Lonchura striata: one gene and its partner. The protein of the gene in region 2 interacts with the protein of the main gene of each other region in a biochemical or structural test. Links are inferred from orthologs where the notes say so. Each region holds a gene or a part of one and is shown on either strand. Other genes may lie near its edges.

Region 1 (10,662 bases), on a different chromosome or scaffold from region 2:
CATATTTCAAGAGAGTTTAAATTGGAATGAAGTGACTTACTTAGAAAGCTTGAAAAGCTGCAATGCTGCAAAAATCTAATGCTGCAAAAAAAGCCTTTTCTTACATCACATTTTCTCCCTGAACTTGCAAAAAAACCCCGCCAAACTAACAATTCACCCCATATCGTTCTTGAGTCATTCCTGTCTTTGAGCACGAGACAAACTAAAGCTATGGAGACAAGAAAAATATAAGTGACTTAATGCTGGTTCTTTCAAAATTACAGAATCACAGGGAGGTTTTTCCTTAGCTTAGCTCAGCAGATACTGAATAGCAGGGAAGTCAGGAGATAAATGTTTTGCTTTCAGAGACAAAAATTTAAATAAATATTTACATTAAATCAGAAATCAACAGATTGTCTGATCAGAAGTCTTTATTAAGAAAAAAAGCCCTGGGGTATCCTCTTAAGGAACATAAAAGGAACTCCTTGGCTGGGACACAGCCTCGGTCAGCGCTGCTTCCATGGCTCTCAGCTCTTTCCCAGTCCTTGCAATGTTCCCAGAGATCCCAGAGGATGGCAGGGCCAAGGCTCACATTCGCCTTCTCCGGCAGCTCAGCATGTATTTCCTGTCACACTTGCCTGTGCAGAGCAGCCACGCATGACTCGACAGTGCTCAGCCTTGTCTCCAGAGCTTTGAGTATCACATCCACCTGCAAAATAGCCAGGAAGAGATTCTGGCTTACACACAGGATTTGACAACACAAAGAGCACATGTGGATGTTAAAAAGGGCTCAAATCTCATCTCACACCACCGATTCTTTTCATTCGATTCTTTCCCTGCTGCTCTCATACTTTGAAAGCTCACCCAACTCTAACATTCACTGTCCACACAGTGGACAATTTTCCAGCCTCGGTGTCAGAGCAACACACTCAGCTTAGCTGGACAACTTCCTTACACTATTTGCTCCCAGCTCTTTCTACCTGCAGTCACAAGATTTTAGTAGAGCAAAACATCAACTTGATTTATGATTTTAGATTTCAATACAAAGCTACAGCAAAAGCAGTAAGTCAATTTGCACGAAAGGCAAGAAGAAACATGACTAAAAGTTAAGTGAAGATCTGTAGAAGTGAATCAGAACTAACTAGAAAAAACATACCAAATTACTGAGACATAAATAGGAACCTAATGCTGTGCTTGATAAACAGAAAATGCTAATTACCATAAAAATGGAAGGAAAAGTTACTGAAAATCTTGAATAACTCAAGATACCAATGACATGCTACAATGCACTGAATTACTCTGGGTGAAATAAGCTGTTCCAAATAAAGTGTTGAAGAACATTAAGGTTTCACAGAGGTGATTTAGACAAAGAATGGTATGAGGTTAAATCTCACCTTTTCCAGCACCTCCTGCAAGACAGCTCGACTTTCAAGAGTAAGCGGTTCCTCATGAATAAGAGCTTGCTTTGCTGGGGTTCCTAGAACATAGCTGAGATGCCACAGTTTAGATCATGCACTTCTCACTCTGAAGCCAAAAATCCAGACACGGCACTCCTCCAGAACCCTGAGAGGCAGCCATGGATTCTGAAGCTGCAGGATGCAGTGAAAAATTGCACAGACACCAGGAACAGTGCAGCGCTGGCTGGGAGAAGCAGCATTATTCTCCAAGAAAAGTGCATTCTGCACCCAGGTTAGTGCTGTAGAGAATTTTACTGCCATGCCATTTTACTGCCAAAAAATAAGGTATCACAGCTGTAGAATTAAGAAAAAAACCCAAACGCACTGTGCAGAGCACAAGGGTGAACATCCACAGCAATACAGCAAAATAAATGTGAACTTCAGAAAAAAACAGAGGCATTAAAACTAGTTTGGGTGAACACTGTCCATTAGAACAATGCTTGCATAAAAGAACATTGGCATAAAGCTGTGATTCACTATATACTTACTGAAGAACACCTTAAGACCACTTTTCAGTGCTATAAACTGACTAAACCCATGCACACTTTCATTTTCTAGACAGATTTTAAGAGGGCTGAGTGAGAGTGTCAAGCACATACTCAGCTGTCAGATTTGCCTTTGCCCACCTATTATAGTTTGACATAGAAGTGAGTGTTCTCTAAAAGTTGGAGTCAAATTAATCAGTCATCAAGTTTAGATATTAACACTTAAAGTGACCACTAAAAGCATTAGACACGCCTCTGAGAACACAGGGGGTTAAAAGCAAAGAACTCCCAAGAGAACTCTCTCTTCTGTTCCAGTCCACCACGAGTAGAGAGGGGAAGCCATGCCACCAGTAACTGAAGCAGATCAGAGACCCAGAAAAAGAAAGATGGGTGAGGAGAATGAAACCAAACCAGCTGCCCCACAAGACATAAAGGTAAAAAAGCCACTAAAATGTCCCAAGCAAACTCCCAGAGAGAGAGAGAGAGAGAAAAAGAAAGAGCCCGTTCCACCTAAAAATTTAACATCATGTGCCAGCAGTACACCACAAAGAAAACAAAAATAAGAGAAAAGCAAGTGCCCAGCCATAAGAGTTTAGCAGCCTACTGTAAGATCTCACCCATCCTGGGAGCTTAATACTTTTAACCCTTTCCTGAAAAAAAAAAACTTTACAAAACCTTACTCCTCCTTAATCTAAAAGAAAAGAGATAGCCTAAGACCGAAATGTCAGAAGAAAATGAGGGAAGAAGGCTAAGTAGAAAGAAATACTAGAGTAGCCTTAGCTAGACTTTTCTTGTATTGCCATAGACTAAAACAATTTTCTCCTACAAGACAGAGACTGCATTTTTAAGAGGATAAAATTACTTAAGCTAAAAATGTACAAGAGTAAAGTAAACAAAGAAAAAAAGTTAAAGAGGGTATAGCAGAACCCTCTAGCTTCAAAAAAAAAATATTATCTCTGTTCTTGAGACCCTCAGCCCCAGAGAAGGAAAAAATGGTGGGGACTGTTATCCCAAAAAGAAAAAACTGTTACTCTTTTAGTCCTTAGCAAAACATCCTTAAAAATAAACCCTATAAGCAGCTTCAGTCCATGCACAGTGGTGGGAGCACTGTGACATGGAAGGGAAAGTGTCACAACAGCAAATTTTCTCCAGACAGTACCATGTGTGACACAGAAACACAAGAAGTTACAATTGTGTTTCTTAGAGATCTATAACACAAGACAAACTCGTCTCTCCCTTGATAAACTAAAAATTAATTATCTAAAGAATAGTAACTTAATCAAGAATCCAGAGTTGTGTCTCACTGTGTTTTAGTAGAAATTGAGTAGAATGTTTAAAAGGTTTTCATCCTAAATTCTGTGTATTCCTTTTATTGTAGTTGTAAAATAATAAAGTTTTCTCCTTTGTTTTTAAGCTCAAGCCTGCTCTGCTCTGTTCCTAATCACATCTCACAGCATTCAGTTAAAAAACGTAAATTTTCATTAAAGCGCTGACATTGTGCCAGTGTCAAACCATAATGCCACCTTAGCAAGGACAGAGCAGTGCAGGTTGGACACGCCCCAAGTTCTGCCTGAGCCCCTCTGGCCACACTTCCTGCTGATAATCCGACCCCTAAGGACTCCAGACAGGCCTATCTGGAGCTTGGTTTGGGCACTCCTCTGATCAAATGAGAAGGACCCTTCCCGTGCCCTGGACCTGGTGATATTTTCTTGGCTGGAATGCAATTTCTCATACAAACGGCAGTTCCTCACAGCTGAGCACTCTGATGCCAACAGCAGCAACACAGAAAACCACTCTGGGACAGAGCAGCAGGAAAAGCTCCCTCGAGACTTCCCAGAGATATGACAGGAGCACCCTCAGTGTGATGCCTGGTGAGTGAAGTGGAACTGGCAGGCTGACCCACAAACATTCTGTCTTTACCTGTCAATGGAGTCAATACTGAAACAGAACAAATCTCTCTTATAGTCGAGGTTCCTTGAGGTGCACCTGTAGATGCTGCCAAGTGTCGTTGAGCAGCCAGAGCAGAATAAGGTTTCTACCATGCTGTAAGAAATAACATTTATTTAGAAGAAAATAAAAGGAAAACTTCTCCCCATCCTTTTTCTTAAAAAAAAAAAACAAAAAACACACACACAAAAAAAAAAGCCTCCCTATGCATTAGAATTTTTTTAGGTATTCATTCTTGCTTTACACATTGTAAATTATGAGCATTCATCTTTCAGCCTGAATTTGCAATAGCTCCTCAGGCTGACTGACCTCAGGAAGACCATCAGAATCACTAAATGGTGGTCGGGACATTAAAGCTCATCCCATTCCACCCCCTGCTGTGGGCAGGGATACCTTCCAATGTCCCAGGCTGCTCCCAGCCCCAGTGTCCAGCCTGGCCTGGGACACTGCCAGGGATCCAGAGGCAGCCACAGCTGCTCTGGGCAAGCTGAACCAGGGCCTGCCCACCCTCACAGGGAAAAACTTCCTCTGATATTTCATCTAAACCTGCCTTCCTTCATCCTAATGCCATTCCCCTTGCCAATGGCTCTGTGTCCCTGTGAGAAATCCCTCTGCCTTAGGCCACAAGCGCTTGTACAGAGCACCCCACATAAGAGTTCCAGGGGCTCTGGGGGCCCACGAGCACCCCGGGGCCTTGGTCGGGCTTGTCCTCAGCGCCTTCCCCGCGAAGCCCCGGCGGTGCCCGGCGCTGTGCCCGGCCAGGACCGGCCCTCACCATCCGCACTCGCCGGGCAGCTTGGAGACCTTCCGCTCTGGGTCCACGGCGACGCTGGCGGCCGCACCTGCAGCGGGAGAGAGGGAGGGAAGGAGGGATGGCAGGAGGGATGGCAGAGGGACGGCGGGGACACGCCGGGGCTGCGGGGCCGGCACTCACTACGCAGCAGGATGCAGCCGGTCTCCTCGTCGTTGGACACCCAGCTCGAGGTGTCGCCCACGGGCCGCCTGCAGCCGGTGCACATGAACACCATGGGCATGGGGGCCGCGTCCGCCCGCCGCTCTCGCTTCTGCCGCTCGGCCCGGCCGCCGCCCGGCTCCAGCAGCGACAGCGAGTACTCCAGCTCCGGGCAGAGCGCCATCGGGTCCTGCCCGCCCGCCGAGGGACCGGCAGTGGCCCCCAGCATCGCCTTCGAATGGCCCGCCGAGGAAGCGGCAGTGACGGCGGACATCGACCCGGAACCGCCCCCGCGCCGCCCGCCCCGCTCGCCGGGGCTGCCCCGGAACCGCTCCCCGGGGCCCGCCCGCGCCGCCCGTGCGGCGTTCGGACCTCGTAAGGGCACGGAACTACGACAAAGGGTGTGGTTATTCCGGTACATCGGTTTTGTATGAGGCGATTTATCAGGTCGCTCCTAAGTCAGGGATCCCCCCCTGAGCTGGAAGGGACCCCCAGGGACCATCCAGTGCCACCCTTGCCCTGCCCAGACACCAACAGTCCCACCCTGGGCATCCCTGGCAGCGCTTTCCAAAGGCTCCTGCAGTTCTGGCAGCCTCGGGGCCGTGCCCGTGCCCCGGGGAGCCTGAGCAGTGCCAGCCCCTCTGGGGAAGAGCCTTTCCTGATCGCCAACCTAAACCCCTCCGGATCCAGCTCCAGCTCTTCTCTGGGTCCTGTCCTGCTCACGGGCAGCAGAGACCGGAGCTGCAGCTCCCGGTGAGCTCTGACCTCAGTCTCCTCCAGGCTGAAGAGGCCAAGTGTCCTCAGCCACTCCTGGCGTGACCCCTCCAGACCCCAGTCCTTTCCATCCAGATACATTCAGGAATGTTTTCCAGCCCGGCTGTGCTCGGGAGCTCCCAGGAACAGTGCACTGCTCGAAAAGAAGGGTCTGTGATCCAGCTGGCACTTGTCCAACCTGTCCCTAAGTTACAGGGCACCCATCTCAGTTTAAAACATCCTGAGAAATAACATGAGTGACCGGCAAGAAGCGAGGATTGCGTTTTCAGGGCTCCTCGTACATCTCTGTCATACATTAACACTCATTGCCACGAAATGTTTTCAGTCCCAAGGCAGCCCTTGAGCTGCAGGACCCCAGAGTGATTGGCACAGACACCAGTTGTGCAATTGTCTTTCTGAGGGCGCTGCAGTGCTGCGAAGCAAAGTAGTGGGTCAGAGTTCTGAGCTGGCTTAAAAGGCACCACTGACATGGCTAACAGAACAAACTCCTCGGAGTATTTCTGGTCTTATGAATATTACTGGGATTACATAGATCCAATTCCAGTAGATGGAAGCAAGTTGAAGGTTAATAAATGTAAGTATTGTGGAGTGGTAGGTGCTAATCTTACACAGGGAAAATGTTGGGTACCTTGTCTCACTGACCTGGTTTTGTTTTCTGCAACAGAGTCCATGCCAGTGCCTGGTTTGTGTGAATATGTGTTTGCCTTCAGGCTGGATAATTACTAACAAACACTCTGGGCTTTATCTTACAGTATTTGAAGCTATAAGACTGCTGACACTAATTCTTCTTTACAAGGACAGATTTTTTTTTTTTTTTTGGTCATTTGCTAAGGGGAAATTTGATGACTTGCAAATCTGTAGTGCGGCGTGCTGGTTATCTGTGTGCTACTGTCACCAAAGTTCACTGAAAGAGCAGAGGTTTTCATAAAAATACTGTGTTTTCATCTTGAGACAAGGCTGACATTGCAATGGGTAAACATTCAGACTTTTAGTAAAGGAAATATATGTTTCCACTAGCCAGGAACAATAAGCTGCAAACCTATTCTTTGACCTTTCCTCCTTTGATTTAGTGCTGCTGAACTAATAAAGTAATAGTATCCATTATTGTGCAAATGCTTTGCTGCTGCGGAAACCGATTCTGCTGGGCTTTGCAGTTTATTTCCAAAGGATATGAAGTAGCATTCACCAATCTGACCTTGCCATAGCTCATTCCATTTCACACCTGGCTTTGCACAGTGAAACAGCAGTGTCTTGTTATGGCTACTTGTAGTGGCAAATGATTTTGGTTTTTCTAATGTAACTGCACTGATTAGGTTTTGCTAAAATAAAATGACAAGCTGTGTCCCAGCGGATTAACCGAGGGTGATGGGTGGGCTGACAAAGACCAAGGGAGAGCAGGCAGGGTGTGTTGGAGTCACTTGGCTGCAGACAGTGCTTTCCCTTGATTTCTGTCAAGCCTCTGCCTGTGGTTGTATCTTCAGTTCATTAACAAAGTTACAGGGTTTACTCATTGCTCTTTAGTTTACTGAAGATGGCTGTAACTGTTCAGATGTGGATTCACAGACTAAAATTGTTTTTCCCAAGGTTACTACAGCGAAATTATTATCTGTTCCCAGAAATTGCGATTGCCTTTCAGAATCTTGTCTCTCTCACTAAAAATGCAAGAAACTGCCTTTCTGATGGTGGAGGTTGAATTCTGTGTTAGGAGCTGCTTGTCCTTCTCTTGCCTGAACAGCAGTAGGAAAAAGGAGAAACTTACTCTGCACCCCCTCTAGAAAAGTTTTTCTGTGCATTCAGATCAGCTGAGGGTTTATTGCCTCCAAACTTAGAGCGCCTCACCTTAAAGAAAGTGGTGTGAATATCCAGATCCTTCTGTAAAGAAAATCTTGCTCTCTAATGTTGCAGAGCAACATTTGGTGGTGCTGGGACCAGGAAAATTATGAGCAGCTCCTCTGATTCTCTCAATTTTAAAGTTAGGGCAGATGATTACCCCCAAATTCAACTAGAGAAACCCCAAACTGCTTAGCTAAGCTAGATGTAAGTCTTTGGCATGTGGCTGGCATAGCAAAACCCAAAAATCAGGAATAAACCTTCCCCCATTTTCTCCTTAATAACATTTTACTATCATTTGGATCACCCAGTGCGTAACAGAGATGGTATTTGTGTTGTGGCACTTCCCTCCTTGATACAGTATTTTAATTCTGCTGCCTGTTTTCTTGAAATTTATAGAAACTGTGCTTCTGAGACAAGATGCTCACCCTCTGTTAATTTAAATTTGTTGACAGTTTTATGGAGGAAATTACCCCATATGTGCCTAAGAGTGATCTCATCAGCCTTATTTCCATTAAAAAGCAGGGTAAACTGATTTTGTATTGACTTTTTAGTCCCACTTGTTCTGACACCCCCCCCCCCCCCCGAGAAATAGAGAAGTTTACCACCTTTCAGGCATTTTTGTACTCTAAGAAGATGAAAATAGACATTTTTTCCATGTCAGCAGCCTAGGAGGAATAGAGAGTGCATCCTCTTGGTACTATTATTCTTCCTTCTCCAAATACCAGTGGGAGATCAGCAGGTTACAAGTTCTAATGAAAACACCAAGGGAAATAATTCCCAACAGCTGGTTGGGATTTTTTGTTGTTTTGAGTAAAGGCACCAGTCAAGCAATGAATATAGTTTGTCTTTGTATATTTACATTCTTATTCCCTGAGAAGCTGCTGCTGGGATTATCGGCTCCATGTGCTCAGGGCCATTGCTGGGGCAGCCCCAGGGAATTACACAGTTCCATAACACTGCGATGGGGTTGCAGTTCCCTTGTTCACTTTTGCCTGCTAGGTTTTGGGTTTTTTTTAATATGAAACACAGACCTGAATCTCTGCACTTCTTTTCCTCTATGTGTGGCTAGTTCCTGAAACTTTTTGAGACTGAATTTGTCTCATAAAAATGAAGGTAAACCCAGATGAAAAGTTTTCTATTTGTAATGTTGTGCATCTCTCTCAATTTTCTACAAAAATAATGAAAAATCTTAATTGGCCCATGATCTAATAGGCTATTTATAAGCACTCACACACATATGCACAAAATGTGATGGCAAAATTTAGCAATAGGAAAGTTTTTATAGATTGGTAAAATACGAAAATACATTATTCCAGTTAAAGAAAAAAAAACCACACCAAACAAAAGCAAACAAGCAAAAACCAATTAATTGCAGAATTTAAACCTAGGAAATCTTGATTCAAGCTCCACCCGAGCCCTGAAGCCAATTTATTTGGCTTCGGTGAATTCCATAACATCTATTATAATTGTTTGTAAAAGAAAAAGCCAAAATAGCTCTGACAGGGAATTCTATAAATCCAAACTCTTAATTTCTGTCCCAATGGTGTGGAACACTTCAAAACTCTGGGCTTTTCAAAATGTCCCTGGGTAAAGGAAGAATAAAACAAGCTGCCCTCCCCACTGATATTTTTCAGTAGCCCAGCCTAAACTCCTGTTTCTGATGAGGGAACAGCTGGGCCAGCTCTAGTTTTGGGTTTAAAAGGAGCTGGGCTCATTCCCTTAATCTATTTGTGGCTTTGATGCCAACACAGACTGAACTTTTTTCACAAAGAAGCACTCAATCAAACATACTGGACCTGTTTCAAAGAACACAATGTTTTCTGTACTTGCAGAGGGAAGATTTATTTTGTCTTGGTCAATATTTGTCTTGGAGTCAGTGACCCTTCTTTTTCCACCTCATCTGAAGTAAGCCACCAGCTGTGAATGTAGGGCAGAGCACCCAAACTTCCCAAGGACACCACCAGCACCACAGTGACACCAGGAAGGAGCGTTTTTGAACCAGTGGCCAAAGGTGCTGTGGGGGCAGGAGCAGATCCGTCCCCTCCCTCAAGTGAGCCCAAGGCTCAGGCAATAAAATCAGCACAGCACTGAAGCCTCCATGAAAGAGCAGCTCCCTTTGCTCCCCCAGCCACCTCACACTCCCTCTAAACTGGCTGTGGACACACTTTGGCACTGCCAGCCCTCTTGTTCCTGAAATAAACCATGTGCTCCTGGCAAAGCAGGCAGCATCTTGCCCTCTTCTATGGTGGCTGCAGGGGCACTGCAGCTGAACAGGGCAAGGGGCACATTCTCTTCCACTGCACTGATGTGCTGGGAGGGGCACAGGCACTTGGCAACAAACTCCCCTTGCAATTTCTCTTGGTATAAACTGCTCTCAAGGCTGGAATTCCCTTCCTGGGGGCCTCTCCTGAAAGATCCTGCAGAATTAGGCAGTAACCACTCAGGCTTTCTGCACTATGGTTATGTAAAAGGAGCCATGTTCCAACATCTGCACCAGATGTTGCCACCAGAACACTCTCTGGAGGCTTTTCCCAGCCCTTCCCTCATCCCTGCTGCCATACCCTGTTAGGAGGTTCCCAAGACCTTTAACAAATTGGCACTTGGAGTCCTCTCTCTGAAAGGAGAAACGGAATGATTCAAACGGCACACCTTTATTAGAGATGATAAACCATCTCACTGTGTTTTATTTCTGCCATGCAGAATGCACATGACAGAATTACTCTGCTGTGCCCACAGACTCCATCGTCATTGCCTTTTGGGTCGGCCTTGCTGCGTTTGTGATGTTTCTTTTCCTTGTTTTGCTGTGTATGTCCTGCTCCGGATCAACGCCAGCAAAGTAAGTATAACCAGAGATGAAGTAGATACTGGTGTGAAAAAATAACCTGTAGGAAACATTCACTGCCTCCAGTGACGCAGCAATGACACATAACGTTTATAACTGCACAGAGGGGACACTTCTGTCAGTATTTGGTCGGAGTGTCTCCTGACCCACTGCTCCTCCTTTTATCATCAGAAAATTCAGCTCAGCAGGCTGGTCAGAGATTCAGGATTAGGTCAGAAACAAGCAGAGGGAAGGGAAACAGCAGTCAAAGGGAGCACTAATATTCTCATTTATTGGCACCTAGGGCCTCTGGTATGCTCACAAAGGGTAATAAAAACAATTTTAAAAAGGCAGTTTGCTCAAATAAACCACAAGGCAGGAGTCGGACTAACAACACAATAGACATGGAAATGG
Region 2 (11,512 bases):
AGTGCAGGTCTCTTTGCACTGCTTGCTGAGCTTTCTGTGGTCTCCAACACATCAGTTCCCCCCATGGAGTCACTCTTCTCGTTTTCCTCCCCACAACTATCTTGAACTCCTTCTTTCCTGATGGTTTGGAGTTTGAGACAAGAAATAACAGCCACTGAGGAAGCTGTTCTTTAACAAAAGGGAGGATGTGAAGCCCTGGTGGGCAGGAGCCTGGTGGCCCAGCACAGCAGAGTGGTTTCATGCCCACATCTAAAACATTTCACACTCCTCTGCTGTAATACCCTCAAAAAGCAAAGCCTCAATGAACACTTAGAACACTGCAATGATAGAGAATGTCCGAAGAAGTTACCTCCTCCTTTCCTCAAGAAACTCCTCCACGTACTCCTTCCACCTTCTGTTGAAGCCAAAGGTGAACTTCTTGATGAAGCGGTAGGGGAACCCTGAGGGGAGCACAGGGGACACGAACAGCAGCTCAGCAGGGCTTGCACTCCCTCGGGGCACCGGAGAACCCCCAGAGCCTCTTGAACCCCAACATCAGAGGAACTGGCCCAGACTATTCCATCCAGCACACTCCACTCACTCTTGGGTCTAGGAAACCTCTGCAGCACTAGAGCCACTCTGCTCACAAGCCTTATGCTGCTACTTTTCCTTCTCAGAATATTAATATAGAAACAAATATAACTTCTTAGCAAAGTAATAAAATCTTCAATGGAGCAGATGAAGAACAAAAAGAAGATCAGACAAAACCGACAAAACCCAAATCCTCTGTCTTGTCTTCTCTCCACCTCCATACTAAAAACCCAAAACTCTAAATTTTTCACTCTGTGATAAACTATACTACTGTTGACTTCACACACTCAGATTCCAATTCATCCCAAAGTCTTGGAAGCTTTCTCTATAGACAAAGGTTAAAAGCAGTGTTCTCCTGGGGATCAGGATATCTCAGGACAGGCAGAGAAATATTCCCTGTGCCCTGGGTTCCATCCATGGGCCTGAAAGAGCCCACAGTGAGGGAGTGTTGTGTAAATATGGTGTAACACACCTGGGGCACACCTGTGTTAGGGGAAGTAATGCTGAGGGAACGGCTGGAGCTGGAAGTGGGGTGGAGGCTCAGGCTGGAATCAGGAAAGGCTCTTCCCCAGAGGGGCTGGCACTGCCCAGGCTCCCCAGGGAATGGGCACAGCCCCGAGGCTGCCGGAGCTCCAGGAGCCTTTGGGCAGCGCTGCCAGGGATGGACAGGGTGGGATTTTGGGGAGCTGGGCAGGGCTATGATTGGGATGATCCCTGTGGGTCCCTCCAGCTCCATGATTCCAACTAATCTTTGTGTCCTCAGAGCTGCCTGTGAGCACTGACAAGCAGCTCATTCCCAGCCAACGTGCCAGAGCAGCACACAGAGCAAGGAGAACAAGTCCTGTATTTCCATCTGCATGGAAATCCCATTTCCTTACAAATCCCACATGCTCCAAAGCAAGCTGAAAGAGTCTGTTATTTGTAAGGCATTCAGAATCAGCAGCTCACCCTCCTTCCTCATGGCAGCTGTGTCTATCTTGCCCTGCAGCAGGTAGACAGTTCCCGAGGAGGTCTGCACCTGGTTGTGAGTGATGCGCTCGGTGACGGCGCTGCTGTGCCACAGCTGGTTCGTGTCCCTGGCAAAAGACACAACAGCAACCACGGAAATCACCTCCAGAAGGGACTGCAGTCTGGAATGCTGGCACTCCATCAGGGAGGGGTGGTGATCCCTGCTTTCTGAGGGATTCAGGTGCAGGCAGGATGTGCTCTGGGCTCAGTTTTCCTTCTTAGCCGGGAATGACACAGCTCTGCCTCTGTGCCTGACACCGGGGCAGGGACAAAGTGAACGAGTCACCGCTGCAGGTGTCACTCGTGGGACAGCAGCTGGGATGAAGCCAGCTCATTACTGCAGCCCAGCTTGGAGGGGGCTTGGAGCAGCCTGGGACAGCGGGAGGTGTCCCTGCCCTTGGCAGGGGTGGGGCTGGATGGGCTCTAAGGTCCCTCCCAACCCAAACTGTCCAGAGCTATTTGATACTTGATTTATTTCTCTGAAGCTTTCTGATTATCTCAGCACAGGACTCTGAAATGAGTTCACCAGTAGCTCCCTGGATGCTGGCTCTCCTCCTCTTGCCCACACAAAGGAATTGTCTCTCTTCCTTGACAAAATCTAAGCTCTGCACCATTACCTCATGTTTGATGTCCATGGTTTACTTTACATTTAAATAATAAATTGGTTCTTACTTCCTTTTCCCATCCACACAGATTGCCATGTTTCCAGGCAGCACTTTAATCCTCCAACTGTTCAGGCAGATGTTTTTCTGTTTCAGATAAAAAAAAAGAAAATAAATCATTTAGAAGTATTTATTACCTAGGCCCCCTCAGTGATCAGATCCAATAACAGAAGTATCTCTTTCAGTATCTTCTAAGCTACAAATCTGGAATACTAGAGGATATCTGATCCTCGGCTCAGTCCTGAAGGTAACTTGGTTTAGTTCAGAAACAAACACTCTAGGCCATGGTGAGGAAGAAGAGAACAAGTCCCTTGCAATCCCAGATTTCCCCAGAGAACAAGGAAAGCACAGGCCTTGGGCAGGTGTGCTTGTGCCAGGGAATCCCAGGGATGCAGCACTGCTCTCCTAGGAAGAGATTCTGCTCCAGTTAAATTGATCAGGAGGCTGGATGCTCCATAGGAAAGCCAAGCCCTTCCCCTGCCCAACAGCGCATTCCTGGATGGATTCATGCCCAGCTGGGAAAGGTCTCTCCTCTCTGGATCTGAGCAGGCAGCCAGGAGCTGGCAGGGCCCTTGATCACACCATGGCTTGTGCACACTAAACCAAAAGTGCTTCTTTTACATAAAAAAATCCAGACCCTCAACGTTTGTCATCTTGGAGCATGGAAAAAAAGGAACCCTTTGCACGGGAAAATTTACTGGTAAAATCTAATGGAATAACAATTTATTCTCCTCTCAGTGTTCCTTGCTTTTGACAAGAAAAAGAATAACTTCCAGCTATCAGCCCAGAGGAATTTCTAATTTTCCCTCAGGGATTATTTTCTCCCACCTCTTTGTGTGCTTTGCCAGCAGGTTGATCAGTAGGAGGTTTATCCGAAGGGGCCTTGGGTTCTTCTGCCAGCTTCTGCTTCCTTGGGATTTGGACTGGAGAGCAGAGCATGATGCTACAGAAGCGCTGGGGGGACTTTTCAGGATTAGCCTCGGGTGCCTTTTCCACTGCTGGAGCAGCTGGTTTTTTGCTGGGCTGCAGCTCTCTCCTGTCTTCATGAAGCTCTCTATGTTCTCCATTTCCCCACCTTCCTCTCGCCCAATCCCCGTTTTTCAAAGGGGTGGAGTTCACTTGCAAAGGAGTAGACACTGCACTTCGAGACATTTCTCCATCAGCATCTACTTCTATAGATTCCACCAGGAAAACATCCACATCATCCTTATCAGAGTCCACATCCTGTGCAGGCTCATTCCCTGGCTGCTCAGCACCAGCAGGCTGCCCTGAAGGATTCTCTGCAGTTGTGGGAGGAGGAACATTCTGCTGGGTTTGGGTTGAAGGTGTTCTAGCTGCCCATTTAAATAAAAAAAAAAAGGAATAACAAAAAAATTAGGGATGTTTAAGCATGGGAAGAGGCTGCCTAGGGGGTGGGGGAGACCCATGCCAGGAGGGATTTAAAGCCCTGTGGATGTGGCACTTGGGGACAGGGGAGAGTCCTGGGGGAACAGTTGGACTTGATGGCCTCAGAGGGCTTTCCCAAGCTCAGCAGTGCCATGGCTCTCTGCCTGCAGGGAGTTTGTGTTCTCAGAGCAAGCCCAGTACCTTGTTGCTGCTGCAGCAGCTGCCACTTCACCCGCAGGAAGAACTTCTGGGGGGTTTCCAGCACGGGAGGCTCTGCTGGGGGCTCTTCCCTGGGAACATGAGGCAAAATTGGCTCTGGAAAACAACCAGACAAACAAACCCCAAAACCCTCTTTAGATTTATGGAAGAAAAACATTTCATGGGGGGCGGAGGTGGGAACAATATGATCTTTTATATGCTTTTTATTAAAAAAATCCCCACAGAGTCCCAGAAAGGTTTGAGTAGGAAAGGACCTTAAAACCCATCCCATTCCACCCCCTGCCATGGCAGGGACACCTCCCACTGTCCCAGGCTGCTCCCAGCCCTGTCCAGCCTGGCCTCGGGCACTGCCAGGGATCCAGGGGCAGCCACAGCTGCTCTTTTCCTCTCTTTCCTCTCTGTGCCAGGGCCTGCCCACCCCCATTGTAAAAAAGGGTCACATCCAGCTCGGTGCCAGCTGCAAACCTGCTGAGAGGGCACTGGATCTCACCATGTCATGGATAATGATAAAAACCAGCAGGGAGAGCCCAGGAACGTACCCCAGTGGGATTTCAAACCCCAGGCACGGTTCCATGAACATTTCTCTTCCCTGCACAGACCATAAGGAATAGCTACAGCAATTTTGGTTTTAGTTACAAGGTGTTTTTGAAGGTGTTGCACACATCCAACCCACTCATGAACACAACATAAAGAACAATTAGAGCCATAGCGAGGCAGAGGGGAAGGAAACCCAAAGGGAGGGAATCCTCTACGATACAGAGCAGGGAAGAGACATCAGCACTGCTGCAGACATATTTCAGCACTAAAAAACTTCACCACCCAACTTTTTTTAATCCCAGCAGCTGGGGTGCAACCAGTGCTGATGTTTTCTACAGCCACCAAGGGGCTCTGGCTGCTCTTCTCAGATCCTGGAAGAGCCATGAGCGGGACCAGAGGGAAAATGTTCACACCTGAGACAGCTCTCCTGGAGAAGCTGTGGAACAATCATTGCTTCCCAAGGTGTTGGTGTCAAGGGGCTTTGTCCTCTCCATGGGCCTTCCAAGGAGAAAGGATTAAGGCAATTGCTAGCAGCTTTGAGAGCTCTTTCCTTTCAACAGGAGACTCCAGTGTGCTCCAAAATAATAAAAACCGTTCGGGAAAAAGAACTGCTAATAATTCCTGTAATTTGGCATTGTGGACTAGTGTAAAGAATGAAGAGGTCTAGGAGAACGTGAAAATCAGGGATGTCACTTACTACAACACAAGACGCCTAGAAGTTCTGTGACCCAAACTCAGGTTTACTTACACCTTTGCGCTCTTTATTCCAGCTATCCACACCGGCATTCACACCATTCCCGTGGAGTCACCGGGGGCTCGTACAACTCACCTGCTCCGGGCTGGGCGCTGCGGTGCTGCGGGGCCGCGGGGCTCAGGATCACGTCGGGGGCGACAGCGCGCTGCCGCTCCGCCCGCGCCTTCATCCGCTGGAAGATCCTGAGCGGCGACTCCTGCGCGGCCGGCTCCGCAGCAAGGCTCCGCTGCGGCGGCCGCTCGGCGGCGGGCCCGGCCCGGCCCGGGAGATCGGGCCCGGCCCGGCTCCGGAGATCGGGGCCGGCCCGGCTCGGGAGATCGGGCCCGGCCCGGCTCTGGAGATCGGGCCCGGCCCGGCCGTGGAGATCGGGGCCGGCCCGGCTCTGGAGATCGGGCCCGGGCCGGCTCTGGAGATCGGGCCCGGGCCGGCTCTGGAGATCGGGGCCGGCCCGGCCGTGGAGATCGGGCCCGGGCCGGCTCGGGAGATCGGGCCCGGGCCGGCTCTGGAGATCGGGCCCGGCCCGGCTCTGGAGATCGGGCCCGGCCCGGCTGTCGCCATCATCCCGGCGCTCCGGCTCCCCGAGCTGCGAGCCCGAGGCGCGGCCACCCGCGGCCGCGCCGCTGCCCTGGCCCTGCAGGAGCTGCTTCAGCGGGGTGAGCGTCCCCGCGGGAATGCTGCTGAGGAACACCGAGCGCACTGGCGGCTGTCCACAGGCGGAGCGGCGGCTGGGGGTGGCGATAATGTCGCAGACCCCGCCGCGGCGGTCCCCGGCGAGCCCCGGCCCCGCCATGGCCGCGGACAGGCCCGGCGGCGCTCCCGGCCCGCCGCGCTCCCCTCACGGGCCCGCGCACAGATTCGAGCGCCGCCGCCGCGCCCGCCGATTGGCGGAGCTGCGGGCCGAGACCACCGAGCGCGGGCGCGGGGGGGTGTTACGAAATAAAAACCTTGCCGGATGGCGTTGAGGCAGGCGGGAGCAGGCCCGGGCTATGCTCGAGCTCCCCTCCCCTCGGCATGGTGGTTCGGTCCGCCTGTGGGCGGGCTCCGCAACCGTTAGCGCTGAGAGGGGCGGGCTGAGGCGGGGACGGAACGGGGCCGGGCCGAGATGGGGCTGAGGCGGGACCGGAACGGGGCTGAGGCGGGGACGGAACGGGGCCGAGGCGGGGACGGAACGGGGCCGAGGCGGGGACGGAACGGGGCCGGGCCGAGATGGGGCTGAAGGGGGAACCGGATCGGGCCGGGGCTGAGGCGGGGCCGGGACGCGGCTCCACGGGAAGGTCCGGAGCTTACGAAGAGCCCCGGGAGCGCCGCGGGGCGCAGCCGCGGCTCGCCGGAGCCTTTGCGGTGTGCGGGAGCCGGCGGAGGCAGAGCCCCAGGCCTGGCAGGCTCTGGTGTGTCCCGGCCGGAAGATCGTGTAGTAGGGGTTCAGAGGTCAAGCGGCAAACAGGGGAAGTTACTTGAATAATGCATAAAAAATAGAGGATAAATTGGAGTCACAGGTGTAGCCAGCTGTAGTCCTGCTAACAAGCAGCTGCAGTGGGATCAGGTGTGTCTGATTCCCAAATTAATCCCAGCAGGTGAGTTAGAAACTCAGGTCTGGGTACAAAATTACTTCAGTGTGTGCCTGTTGATAATAAACAGCTGTCTTTAGAAACAAGGTGTTAATTTGGGGTCCTGTTTGCTGCTTTTCAGCTTGTTAAAATAATGAAAGACTGGGTTCATTGCAGGAGATGCACGTGCTAATTAGCAGGCCAGTTAACAGAGCAGAGAGGGAGCTGTGCTTGCTGCTCCCCAGAGAATTCGGGAGAAGGAGCCCCCAGGGCTGCAGTGCGGGATCAGAGGCAGGTGAGTGTCAGGGGAGGGGGCCATGGAAACACAAGGGAGCTTTGCATTTCCTCTGCTGGCATCTGCCTGGCCTTGGCTCCTAGGCTGCTCCTGTCTCAGGGTCTCGGTGCTGGGCTGACCCCAAGAGTGTAAAAGCCCTTGTTTCCCAGGCCATGCAGCTAAAGAAGTCTGAATGTGCAGGATCAGCTTCTCAAGGGTGTTTATTTTTCCTTATCCAGAACATTCTTTCTCTGCCCTGCTGAGCTCTGTCCAGCAGCTCGGCCATGGCAATCTGCGTCTCACCTCGGGCAGAGTTTACATTATATACTCAAAAGTTATGTGTGCTATATTTACAATATATTTACAATGTGCGCTATATTGGCTATATTTACAATATAGCCAATATCTATCATCTATGTTGGACAGTGTGTCTGTACCTTAAACCAACAGAAAAGTGTCACCAGCACAGCAAGACATGGAGGGCAAGAAGAAGGTCAGGATATGTCCAAATTCCTCCATCTTGTACCCCTGAACCCCATTCTAAAAACCCCAAAATTCTACTTTTCCACCCTGTGTTAACTCCCACACTACTCAAACTCTTGTGGCTGTAATTCCTCACACAGAGTTGGCAGCTTTTTCCACAGGCTAAGATGGAAGCCACGGGTGTTTGTGACTTTGTGCCAGGGTCTGGAGCAGCCAGGGCAGCCAGAGGGATGTGCTGGGCTCTGACAGTCCTGCTGGAGCTTCCCAGGGAAGGAATGGGGCTGGCAGATGTGTAGGTGGAATAGAGAATGAGACCATGGAAAAGTTACGACAGGGATAACAAGCTGTGTTTAGGGTTTGCATCAGTGAAATGTCTGATTGTGGTTTCTGATGCACTGACTTCACACAGTTGGCATGGCTGCATTTGGTTCATGTGTCCTTAAAAAGCACAAAACCCCCTGTTCAAGCCATCATTTACTCCTTACAGATATTTCTTAACTCCTTATCTGCTCAGCTTTTGCCTAAATGATCAAAAGCAAAGAAAATTCGTTTTGCTCCAGTTAGTTGCAGAAGCCACCATTGTGCTTCATTCCAGGAACAAAAAATCCACAGGAAGTCAAGATTTAAGATCCCAAAAAGCTGAATAAACATTTATTTTTATACCTCTATACTCAATATACAGGATTGATTAATTAACTGACAAGACTTGTCAAAGGAACCTTCCAAAAAAAGGGAAAAACTTTAAACATTTCTATGAAAAAAACACAGGAAAGCACACACCCTCAGCCCAATTTCCCAAGGAGAAATTCCTCCTTTCCAGGAACAAACGCGTGTGTGAGATTTGTGGGTGTAATTTGGGTAGCTGTGGAATTCCTACAAATTTTGTTAGAATTCCTAAGATACATTAGCATGGCTGAGCAGGTCCCCTCTTGTTTGTGTTACCAGATGCCAGTGGAGCTTCCCAAATGGAATCCCAGGATGGTTTGGGTGGGAAGGGACCTTCAATCCCACCCAGTGCCACCCCTGGATGGGCAAGGACACCTTCCAGTGTCCCAGGCTGCTCCAACCCCAGTGTCCAACCTGGCCTTGGGCACTGCCAGGGGTCCAGGGGCAGCCACAGCTGCTCTGGCAATTCCAGCCCAGCCCCTCTCCAACCTCCCAGCCAGGAATTCCTAAATCCCAATATTCCATCTAAATTTCCCCTCTGGCAGAAATACATTTTTTTTTCCCATAAATGGCATTTCTTGAATATATTTTAAGCTTGTTTGCTGTTTGTTCCATAAAGGAAGAGATCGGGTCTATTATTCAGAAAAGAAAGACTAATCCAGATGAAACAGGAAAAGCTGTTGAGGGTAAAAGAGATAATTTGATTTTTGTTGAGTGTCAGTGGTTCTGGGGCAGAGAGGTGCACCTGGAAACAATAAATGCAGATTTAGCTCAAGGCCTCTAAGTGACTTCTGAGCCTCATCGGCTGCTTGTGCTGTGGGTTTAGAAGGAGGAAAGTGGGTTTTACTGGGATTTATCCATGTGGATCTCTGCAATTACCAGGAAGCACCTAAAACTGGGAATCCTGCTGCTTCTCTTTGGGAAGGTGGCTGATGGCAATCAAAATCTTCATGGAAAAAAAAAAAAAAATTCATGGGGCAAGGATGATGATTCCATTCTAAAAACTTTTCCAAGTGCCCCTTCCAGACTTCTGCCTCTTTAGGTCCCAGTGGAGGTGCAACCCATGCAGCTGAAGTTTCTGCCCTGGGTGGATCAGCAGTTTTGGCAGCAGCTGCAGAAATTCCACCCCAAAAGTCTGTGGTGTGGGTTGTACAGCCCAGACACCTCGGTGAGATCTGCAGTGTGGGGATAAACTGGGGAGAAACCCCAGAACACCCCTGCATGCTGTTTGGCTGAGGGGGGTGTGCTTTTCTGTGTTTTTTCATGGAAATATTTAAGGTTTTTCCCTTTATTTGGGAGGTTCCTTTGACAAGTCTTGTCAATTAATCAAATCCTGTAAATTATATATATCAGGTATAGAGGTATAAGAAAAATATTTATTCAGCTTTCTGGGATCTTAATTAATTGCATGTCTGGAAGCAAAACCCAAATGTTTATTTTGTTTGGGGCAGCTGGAAGAAAATACTTATATTTCATATATTTATACATATATAGGTTTGATTTATTAGTGAATAGTCTTCATTAAACCTAAGGAAACGTTTTCCTGCTGGATTTCATTGTATCTCTGTGAAGAAGCAGACTGACAGAACACCACACACTGTGCTTAGGGTGTTTTATTCTTATTTCATCTTTTCCTCCTCTGGTTTAGGATTATTTATGTTCCCAGCCAGCAGCTCGGGGGGTGGAAGGAGGGAGTGGGAAAGGAGGTTGTGCTTTAGGGATAGCAGAAAAATAATGAACAACAAAAAAAATGAATTACGAGCAGCTGTGCCCGGGCTGGGGTTCCTCTCGTGAGGGAACATTTCTGCATGCCGGGGGAAGCCCAGCGTTCCGGAGGGAAGGAGAAGCGCCCAGGTGCGATGGGAGAGGAGCGCTGTCCCCACGAGGTGGCAGGAGCTGCCTGCCCGCATCCATCCATCCCTGCCCGCATCCCTGCCCGCATCCCTGCCCGCAGCCATCCATCCCTGCCCGCATCCCTGCCCGCATCCCTGCCCGCATCCCTGCCCGCAGCCATCCATCCCTGCCCGCATCCCTGCCCGCATCCCTGCCCGCATCCCTGCCTGCAGCCATCCATCCCTGCCCGCATCCCTGCCCGCATCCCTGCCCGCATCCCTGCCGCTGCCAGCGCCGCGATCCCGCTCCGCCCGGGAGCAGCCGCTGGAGCCAGGCTGCGGGACGGGAGCGGGCCGGTGCGCGGCACAGCTGAGCCGGCCATTCCCGCAGCTGCCTCGGGAAAGCTGCGGCTGCTCGTCGCTCACACGGAGCTGCTGCTGCCGCCCTCCCGCTCGCGGTCCCCTCGCACCACACGAGCGTTTTGGCTGATTTTGCTGCCACGTGAGGCACAGAAATGACACTGCCAGGGACAGCACCCCGGGAGCAGCTGGGGCTGGGCCAGGCAGCTCAGGCTGGAATCAGGGAAAGGCTCTTCCCCAGAGGGGCTGGCACTGCCCAGGCTCCCCAGGGCACGGGCACGGCCCCGAGGCTGCCGGAGCTGCAGGAGCCTTTGGGCAGCGCTGCCAGGGATGGACAGGGTGGGATTTTGGGGAGCTGGGCCGGGATGGGGCTGGGATGATCCTGTGGGTCCCTCCCAGCTCAGGACATTCTGGGTTTCAGTGAATGATTTCTGACTTGTAAAGGAAACAGCCCCAACTCTTAGGCAGTTGTTCTGGTGACTGTCACCTCCGTGAGAAAACTGTGCCTTCCTTCCCTCCTACCTGGAATGGTTTTGCTTTGAGTTTCCAGCTGCTCCCCTGCCCAGCAGGGTTCCCTAGGAACACGTACCCCCACGGGCTCCTGAGTGCTGCCCTCAGTCCTGTCCCACAGCTGTCACAACCTGAGCTCATTTTTAATTCCCCTCTCATTTTCCCACTGCTGCTGGAATGCATTCCTTAATATTCCCTGTAGTGCTTGGCTGCTGCTTTCTTGTTTCGGTGTGCGAGTGTTCCTGGCTAGTTCCTGAGCCCTGGTTCTCGTGCTGGCCCCGCTGATTCTCTCCTTTCCCAGAGATTCTTTCCCTGGCTGTCCCTGGAGAACAATCCCAGCCTGTCCCAGCTGGAAGCACTGAGCCAGGCACTGCTGCAGCTTCTGGACCGGTTTCTCTCTGAGTTTGGGGATTTGAAGCTTTGCCTGCACAGGAGCAGGAGGAATTCCCTGTCCTCCTGGTGAGCATCTTCCCCTGCATCTCCTCAGAATGAGAATTCCGAGTTTGGTTATTAATTACAATTCTGGCTGTGTGTTGGAGGGAGCTGCAGCTAGTCCTAAGTTCTGTGCTCTATTTCTGAGGCCTGCTTTCACAGCTTTCTGAAAGTCTTCTTACTTTTATTATTTCCCACGTGGCTCGAGACGTTTCTGTGGGGCATTTATGGGAATGGAGAGCAGGGCTGGGAGCTGCTGAGCCGCTGACTGA

Evidence for each region.
Region 1: the proteins of MIS18BP1 (region 2) and MIS18A form a complex in vitro, tested with the Homo sapiens proteins (2 studies listed by BioGRID). The link is inferred for Lonchura striata from reciprocal best matches to the Homo sapiens genes MIS18BP1 and MIS18A.

Annotation. Positions count from the first base shown.
Region 1 is NC_134603.1:157,146,882-157,157,543, reverse strand, and holds the start of MIS18A (protein Mis18-alpha), read right to left. Parts: upstream 5,096-10,662; 5' UTR 5,095-5,095; coding exon 4,803-5,094; intron 4,711-4,802; coding exon 4,644-4,710; intron 3,965-4,643; coding exon 3,842-3,964; intron 1,468-3,841; coding exon 1,374-1,467; intron 689-1,373; coding exon 618-688; coding exon of another isoform or gene 608-617; exon of another isoform or gene 1-607. UniProt on the Homo sapiens protein: Required for recruitment of CENPA to centromeres and normal chromosome segregation during mitosis.
Region 2 is NC_134608.1:1,096,356-1,107,867, forward strand, and holds the start of MIS18BP1 (mis18-binding protein 1), read right to left. Parts: upstream 4,401-11,512; 5' UTR 4,270-4,400; coding exon 3,828-4,269; intron 3,575-3,827; coding exon 3,069-3,574; intron 2,328-3,068; coding exon 2,251-2,327; intron 1,647-2,250; coding exon 1,519-1,646; intron 441-1,518; coding exon 350-440; intron 118-349; coding exon 1-117. UniProt on the Homo sapiens protein: Required for recruitment of CENPA to centromeres and normal chromosome segregation during mitosis.